3 linked regions of the Saccharomyces cerevisiae S288C genome follow. The protein of the gene in region 1 interacts with the protein of each later gene in a pairwise test. Each region holds a gene or a part of one and is shown in the gene's direction. Other genes may lie near its edges. The genes, in order: GRX3, BOL1 and YBR053C.

The links.
Region 2: the proteins of GRX3 (region 1) and BOL1 interact in a two-hybrid assay, tested with the Saccharomyces cerevisiae proteins (one large-scale study listed by BioGRID).
Region 3: the proteins of GRX3 (region 1) and YBR053C interact in a protein complementation assay, tested with the Saccharomyces cerevisiae proteins (one large-scale study listed by BioGRID).

Annotation. Positions count from the first base shown.
Region 1 is NC_001136.10:643,678-646,795, reverse strand, and holds GRX3 (monothiol glutaredoxin GRX3), read left to right. Parts: upstream 1-1,865; coding exon 1,866-2,618; downstream 2,619-3,118. Other genes in the region: mismatch repair ATPase MSH6, read left to right, coding at 2,959-3,118.
Region 2 is NC_001133.9:55,813-58,350, forward strand, and holds BOL1 (Bol1p), read left to right. Parts: upstream 1-1,705; coding exon 1,706-2,038; downstream 2,039-2,538. Other genes in the region: gamma-tubulin complex subunit SPC72, read right to left, coding at 1-1,045; BOL3 (Bol3p), read right to left, coding at 1,217-1,573; GCV3 (glycine decarboxylase subunit H), read right to left, coding at 2,138-2,538.
Region 3 is NC_001134.8:338,970-342,397, reverse strand, and holds YBR053C (regucalcin), read left to right. Parts: upstream 1-1,646; coding exon 1,647-2,723; downstream 2,724-3,428. Other genes in the region: RFS1 (flavodoxin-like fold family protein), read left to right, coding at 3,046-3,428.

The DNA of each region.
Region 1 (3,118 bases):
CAACACTCAAGAAACAATACGATACAAAGATAATAAATCTGGGTGAAGGTGATAACGAAATTCAGTACGACATACTTGGATTAGAGATCAAATATCAAAGAAGCAAGTACATGAAATTAGGTATGGAAAAATCCTTGACAGAAAAATTACCCAAACTAAACGTACCTTTGAACCCAAAAGGAAAGAAACTTAGAGCTCCAGGTCAACCAGGTCATTATATAGACCAGGATGAACTAGAAATAGATGAAGATGAATACAAAGAGAAAGTGCATGAAATGCAAAAGTTGATTGGTCTAGCTTCATATGTTGGATATAAATTTAGATTTGACTTACTATACTACATCAACACACTTGCTCAACATATACTATTCCCCTCTAGGCAAGTTTTAGACATGACATATGAGTTAATACAATTCATGTGGGACACTAGAGATAAACAATTAATATGGCACAAAAACAAACCTACCAAGCCAGATAATAAACTAGTCGCAATAAGCGATGCTTCATATGGTAACCAACCATATTACAAGTCACAAATTGGTAACATTTTCCTACTCAACGGAAAAGTGATTGGAGGAAAGTCGACAAAGGCTTCGTTAACATGCACTTCAACTACAGAAGCAGAAATACACGCAGTCAGTGAAGCTATTCCGCTATTGAATAACCTCAGTCACCTTGTGCAAGAACTTAACAAGAAACCAATTATTAAAGGCTCACTTACTGATAGTAGATCAACGATCAGTATAATTAAGTCTACAAATGAAGAGAAATTTAGAAACAGATTTTTTGGCACAAAGGCAATGAGACTTAGAGATGAAGTATCAGGTAATAATTTATACGTATACTACATCGAGACCAAGAAGAACATTGCTGATGTGATGACAAAACCTCTTCCGATAAAAACATTTAAACTATTAACAAACAAATGGATTCATTAGATCTATTACATTATGGGTGGTATGTTGGAATAAAAATCAACTATCATCTACTAACTAGTATTTACGTTACTAGTATATTATCATATACGGTGTTAGAAGATGACGCAAATGATGAGAAATAGTCATCTAAATTAGTGGAAGCTGAAACGCAAGGATTGATAATGTAATAGGATCAATGAATATTAACATATAAAACGATGATAATAATATTTATAGAATTGTGTAGAATTGCAGATTCCCTTTTATGGATTCCTAAATCCTCGAGGAGAACTTCTAGTATATTCTGTATACCTAATATTATAGCCTTTATCAACAATGGAATCCCAACAATTATCTAATTACCCACATATATCTCAATAACAAAACGAACAACATGAGATAAAACACGGCCTTCCCTAGCTGAACTACCCAAACGTATAAATGCTTGAACAATTAGTTTAGATCCGAGATTCCGCGCTTCCACCACTTAGTATGATTCATATTTTATATAATATATAAGATAAGTGACATTCCGTGAATTAATCTGATAAACTGTTTTGACAACTGGTTACTTCCCTAAGACTGTTTATATTAGGATTGTCAAGACACTGCGGTATTACTCGAGCCCGTAATACAACAATACACAGTTGTTACGGTCCTATAGTGTAGTGGTTATCACTTTCGGTTTTGATCCGGACAACCCCGGTTCGAATCCGGGTAGGACCTTTTTTAACTGTGGCTTCTCTGTTGAACCATCAGTTACTTTTTTTTTTTTTCAGAGAATGTGTGCCGGGTCATGAGATGCCAAACTAAGAGGTCATTAAAATATATTTCAAAGACTAAATGTGTTCTTTTCAGGTTCCATCTGCATTTTCTTTTAACTACACCTCGTACTGTTATAAACGCCACCAAGCAAGATATTACACAGCAGCAAAACTTTTTCAGGAAATGCCTGTTATTGAAATTAACGATCAAGAGCAATTTACTTACCTAACTACCACTGCGGCCGGCGACAAGTTAATCGTGCTTTATTTCCATACCAGTTGGGCAGAACCATGCAAAGCATTAAAGCAGGTTTTTGAGGCCATTAGTAATGAGCCTTCCAATTCCAACGTCTCTTTCTTATCCATTGATGCGGACGAAAACTCGGAAATTTCAGAACTTTTTGAAATCTCAGCTGTTCCATATTTTATCATAATTCACAAAGGGACAATCTTAAAAGAATTATCCGGCGCGGATCCAAAGGAGTATGTGTCTTTATTAGAAGACTGCAAGAACTCAGTCAATTCCGGATCATCACAAACTCATACTATGGAAAATGCAAACGTAAATGAGGGGAGTCATAATGATGAAGACGATGACGACGAAGAAGAGGAAGAAGAAACTGAGGAGCAAATAAACGCTAGATTGACTAAATTGGTCAATGCCGCGCCGGTAATGTTATTTATGAAGGGGAGCCCCTCTGAACCTAAATGCGGGTTTTCGAGACAACTTGTGGGTATCTTGAGAGAACATCAAGTAAGATTTGGCTTCTTTGATATATTAAGAGACGAATCTGTTAGACAAAACTTGAAAAAGTTTTCTGAATGGCCAACTTTCCCTCAACTTTATATAAATGGGGAGTTTCAAGGCGGTTTAGACATTATCAAGGAATCCTTGGAGGAAGACCCTGATTTTTTGCAGCATGCTCTCCAATCTTAAATAAATAGATGTATTTAGTGTAAATTGAAACAGAAAAGTCTCCATTTCCAACTAATGGTATGCAAGCATTTTTATATGTGTGACATAATGAATGGCTTCTGGTTAAGTTTGGCTTTTTGAACAACCATTGCCCGGAGAAAATAAACGCGTGAGCAGTAGCTGATACGCGTCTCACTTTTTCATAAATTCATGTATAGGTCATCGCCATATAGAGAAAATATTTGAAATTACATCTGTTGAAACTAATAAGAGCTTTTCCTTGGAGCCTTCTTTGCTAACAGATAAGATTTTTTAATTGGAGCAACTAGTTAATTTTGACAAAGCCAATTTGAACTCCAAAATGGCCCCAGCTACCCCTAAAACTTCTAAGACTGCACACTTCGAAAATGGCTCCACATCTTCTCAAAAGAAAATGAAGCAATCGAGTTTGTTATCTTTTTTCTCAAAACAGGTACCTTCTGGCACACCGTCAAAGAAGGTCCAGAAGCCTACTCCAGCGA
Region 2 (2,538 bases), on another chromosome or scaffold:
TAGAATTTTCTTCCAATTCTAAGGAATCTAGTAGATGAGACTGCTCATTTAGTTTGGACGCTATTATTTTTTCTAATTTTTGCGATTTCTCGAATTTCAATCTAATGGAATTTATAAATTGATCATATTCTTTGTGCAAATTTTCTATGACAATCTCTAATTGAGTGTCTAAGGTTTTCTCAAAACGAGACTCGACGGCTGAAATTGGTAAGGAAGTACTGTTTGCCATTACATTTTCTGTATCAATGTGGTTGTTACTGTCATGAATTTCGTCATTCTGGTATCCACCATCAGTATTCTCCTCTTTACTTGATGGTGAGTCCCTACTTTCTAACTGTGATCCTGCTGGTGAGGACTGGGCCAGTGAAAGAAATTCTTCCTTATCCTGCTTTGATTCCGCTCGACTTTTGGAATGCAAAAAGTCCTGCAAGAATTGGATGATGAACTTGGACAAAGTATCCATTTTTTCAAGAACATAATCCGAGCTCAGCTCTAAAGTTTCCTCCAGGGTCTCCCTCTCTTCTTTATCAAGAAGATGGGCATTTTCATCTTGCTCATTAAAATGCGTCAATATAAAGGACAATAGGTGATTGATCGTATTCACGATACTTTCCGAATTTTCTAAATTCTCTTGAACGAATTGTAGCGTATCTTGGTACTCGACTTCCTTCGCCTTTAAATCCTGTTTCAATTTGTTTATTTCAAGATTTAGACCCTCGATAATCGAATTTCTAAAATCAGTGTCATTGCCCAGCGATGGTGCATTGCCGTCTTTATTAGGGATTCTGCGAATGTATTCATAGAGTACTTGAATCTTGATTTTGGCATTAGTCAACTCCTTCTCCAAATTTTTGACTTTGTTGGAATCGTTCATCAGAGCAGGCTTGATGGGATCGTTATGAGATGACCTCGTGGTCATGGAGTCCCTGAGTGATGGTATGGACATCCCAGAATCCATCGAGTTTGTGAACTCGCTGTCGTCATCATCACCAGTGTTGTCATTATTGCGAAGATGCCTGCCACTAGGAATCCATCGACGTACCATGGCTATAACTTTCCTTATGTTGTTTGCTTAGTTTTTTGATATTAGTGTTGCTTATGTGAAATTTCGCGATTTCAATTAAAATAATAAATACATATATAAAGAATATACACAGAGGGAAGCAAAAGTAAACTAAAAGTGATACTTACACGAGCTTTTTTGGTTCCAAACTGTTCATGATGATGCCGGACCCTTCCCAGTTGACTTCTTAGTGGTCAATTGTAGGCCATGCCATCTGGAAATATCGTCCCTCAAAATTCTGTTCACCAGCTGGTGCTGCTTGATGAGACTCAGTCCGTTGAACTTCTTGCTTGTTATGTTGATAGCAAACATGGATCCGCAGCCACCGGAAACGTCTTGCACTTTACACACTTCAGGTTCCAGTTCCTGTTGTAGTTTATCGGTGATCATCTTCTCCTCCGGAGTCATTGCCATCTGCGTTGAGTACCAAAGCTTTGAGCCCGTCAGAATCCTTGGCCACCGGACATGCTTCACAGATATAGAACGTAGCATGGTCTGTGGGAGCTTCATTTCTATGTTTTACCTTCTCTTTTCGCTTTTATGGTTCTCAGTGACCAAATAAAGAAACTTATATATGTTCCGGAATGACGAATCAAAAAGAGAATAGCATCGTTAGCAGCAAACGAAAGTGGAAAGAGAATAATGTTCAAGAGAGCAATGAGCACAGATGGTCCCGTGGCACGTACCATCCTGAAGAGACTGGAATGCGGCTTTCCAGATTACAAGAACTTTGCGTTTGGCCTCTACAACGATTCTCACAAGCATAAGGGCCATGCTGGTGTACAGGGAAATGTCTCTGCTGAGACACATTTCCGGATTGAGATGGTCAGTAAAAAGTTCGAAGGCCTGAAACTTCCACAACGCCATCGTATGGTTTATTCCCTCTTGCAAGACGAGATGGCTCAGGCGAACGGTATCCATGCTTTACAATTGTCACTAAAGACCCCACAGGAGTATGAATCCAAAGCGAAATAGAATGCATAAGCATAAGTGTACACGTTGAGTTTATTGTTTTATTTCCCCTACATATATATACATATATATGAAATTACTTTACGTACGTATAAGCTTTGTTCAGTCATCATGAACCAGTGTCTTTTCGTACTGTTCTAAGGACATTAGACCCTCGACCTGTTCCACATTAACGCCCTCACCAAGCTTCATTTTGACTAGCCAGCCGTCACCCATAGGATCTTCGTTCACCACACCTGGATTTTCCTCAAGATTAGTGTTAATTTCCTCTACGGTACCATCGGCAGGCTGGTAGATCTCGGAGGCTGACTTGACGGACTCAATGGACCCTAGCGACTCACCTTGGGCAATCTCAGTGCCCACTTCTGGCAACTCAACATAGGTAGCGTCCCCTAAGGCATCAGTGGCGTATTTTGTAATTCCGACAAAGGCAGTCTTGTCCTGATGCACAGCTATCCACTCATGTTGGGAAGTGTACCTCACGGCTTGAGGTCCTTGGGATG
Region 3 (3,428 bases), on another chromosome or scaffold:
GTCCGCAGAACGACCACTCGAGGGTAAGAAAAAAACAGCTCAGATTTCCTATTTGAGGCAAATTATGCGGAAATTGAAGAATCGAAAATCACGGAAGTGGTACCAAAATCGGTAGGTTGTTTTCAATTTACCCTTTTTTTCCATTCCCTCATTTAGAACCCATAGCGAGGTCGAAATATCCCTTAGCCATTGGTGTGATGTCTATAGTTATTTCCCTCAGTCAACCCAAAGCAAGATTTACATTGTGTTAACGTATGCCGTGATATGAACAAACACACCGGCCTACATAGCTAAGTTAATCAAAGAAGGTGTAGATAAACTAGGTTACATAACTGCCTATTGGCAAGCTTTCTTGCTATCTTAACAGCAAAGCTCTTAAGTCGTGATCTTCTCTTCTGATTCTCTTCCGATGGCATATAGATTTGAAGACGACAAGGAAAGCTAAGCAACTTCCTAGTTTTCGTCTAAAAAAACCGAAGGTTTTTCCGGTGATTTTCGGAAACATGCAGAAGAGTCCTTAGAAATCTTAGGTAAATTCACTCGGCATGTCTGCTAAAGATCGGTCTAGGCCATGCGCGTAAAACGGGAAAGGGTTCGCTCAATGGCAGATGCTGCCATACGAGGACACAACCAAGATGAGGCCTCCCAAAGCGGTACTCGCGTTAAGAAAGAAGGGCTTTGGAGGCAACCGGGTAGGGTGTCTTCTTTGTAAAGTTTGTCTAATGTTGGAGAATGGTTGCCACCCGGGGAAGAAAACTGCTCAGGGCGGATAACAGGAAAATAACATGTTGCGTGCACTTGTTTCCGTTGAAGGGAGATGGAAAGACTACTTAAAACAAAGTAAAGAAAAACATCTCAAAAATATTGAGAGAAAATGTGGTCCAGGAACCAAAGATGGTATACTATTTTGCTTTAGTTTATTTTTGCCTTCTTGTTTAATTATTACTCAATTGGTATATGTAATTGAGTAAATATACAAATTGTAGCTTGTGTTTTTGTTTTTCACAAATGACATCGGTATGTATTTTTCAACATATCTTCGCCATTTCTGTGAGCTATTCCGAACACCGCTTGAAACGATTTGTATTTTGCACAATCGTCATCGAAGTTCAAAAGTCAATTGCTTTTCCTAATAGAGTTAAAAGTCGGTCTACGAAAGTAAAATGTATACTCAGTAAGAGCGGTCTTTGTCTACAGTTCTCCAAAGTGGTAGTTATATCGGGAATGGGTAAATGCATTACACAACAACAAGGAGTTCTAAAAGAGTAACTGTGAACGCCAAAGGAAAAGATATAAAAAAAGTATGTCCCTTTTTAATACCTTTTTCGTTAAGCCGCTACAGCTACCTCTTGACTAACTGAGAAGCTGAATGGATAAGGAACAAAATCGTACGTAAATTTTCTCATCCATTTTACTTGGTCAACAGATTCTATAATTGTAAAGCTGTAGCTTGCACTTGATTTTGTTCCTAGAAATGCATTCAAAATTATTTAATGGTCGCCAAGAACAGCTAGGTGAAAGTTTACCCGGTCGGGCTTTAAGGGGAAGCCAATGCTTATTCAAAGCATATGGACATATATGAAGATGTCCTGTAAGATTCTTAGATTAAGTTTATATGCATTGAGCAACTAGACACTTTTCGTAAAATGAGTAGTGTTGGCGATTTTGAAGAAATTATTTTGCATGATTTAAAACCTTATTATCACGTTCCCGGTGCCATACATAGTGAAGGAATAACCTTCGTTAAGGAAACCGGTACACTGTTGTGGGTTGATATTTTTAAAGGAGAGGTTCATAAAGTCGAAGACATAGAACAGCCTGAATCCAGTCATTCTTTTTTTTCCATTAGTAGAGCCAATTATGGCAAGAATGCGTCAATTGAGTACCCTCCCAATCCAGATGAATTAAAAGAATCCGTGGGCTGTATATTTCCAATACTTGATGGGGCTTCACAAAATGAAATCAAACAAGTATTATTTGGTAGTAAATTTGGCATAGGAAAATTGGATTTTAGCAAAAGTGAATGGGAATATGTCATTTTGTATTCCGAATGTCCTGAATTGAGTACAGACAGAGCATATAAGTTGAGATCTAATGATGGGAACGTTTCGCCAGATGGAAAATATATTTATGTGGGGCTAATGAGCGATTTTCCATTTGATTTGGAACCTATTGGGTGTTTGCTTCGTGTTGACCTATTAGCTCACAAGATAGAGCTTGTTTGGAATTGCTTGTTAATTCCTAACGCGATCCACTGGGATGAAAGTGATCAAAAGACGATGTACGTGACTGATTCTTTAAACTTCACTATTTGGAAATGTCCTGGTGGCGACTTGCTAAAACGTGACGAGTTAATTGACGTGAAGAACTCCAACAATCAATCTTTTGAGTCTCCTGAACCAGATGGAAGTGCAATTTGGTTTAGCAAAGACGGAAAACATTCTGGGTTTCTGTTTATCACTGTCTGGTCCACCAGTAAGGTTCAAATGTTCGATTTAACTAACGGAAAATTGCTGAAGGAGTTCATTTTGCCGGAGCAGACACCAAGAGTTTCATGTTGTTGTTTTGTTGGTAAAGATCTCTTCGTGACCACTGCCAATGCAGAAATCAACGATGCTGTAAGAACCAATACTGACAAGAATGGTGGCTGCATCTACAAAATTCCAAACGTGCTAGACGGAAATGTTCCTCTGGAATCTACAAAGCGACAACCTCTCCACTAGGTGTATATACATATGTTTATATATATGCAGCATACGTATCCAGCGCATGTAACTAGCGTCATATGACACCGCTTATGGGCAAATTGAAGCGAAGCTCCCAAACTTGTCCTTATACATCGAATAATAGCCGTTCCATTTTGGTTGCCTAGTTATAAGGAGGGAACACCTAAGGGGCGGACAATCAAAAATACATAAAAGAGCGGAAAAGAAAAGAAATAAAAAGAAACCACATTTTATATCACACTTTTCTCGAGAAACATCGAACATCAAGACCTCCAGCATACTACTCACTATTATAAGCACATACTACGCCACATAGATAATGCCGAAAGTCGCTATTTTGATTTATTCAGTGGACGATATAATTGCCACATTAGCAGAAAATGAAAAAAAAGGTATAGAGATAGCTGGTGGTGAGGCTGAGATTTTCCAAGTGCCAGACGTCAGCTATAAAACTGAATATGCGACAGAAGAGGGAAAAGAGGCAGCCAAAGTCGCCAAAACTAATGCAGATTTTTCCTATAAAATCCTAACAAGAGAAACGTTGGTTGAGTACGATTACTACTTATTCGGAATACCTACTAAGTTTGGAAACTTCCCCGCGGAGTGGAAAAGCTTTTGGGACTCGAATACTGGTGGGCTTTGGGCAAAGGGTTCTCTCCATGGCAAAATTGCCGGTTTGTTTGTTTCAGGCGCAATAAGCGG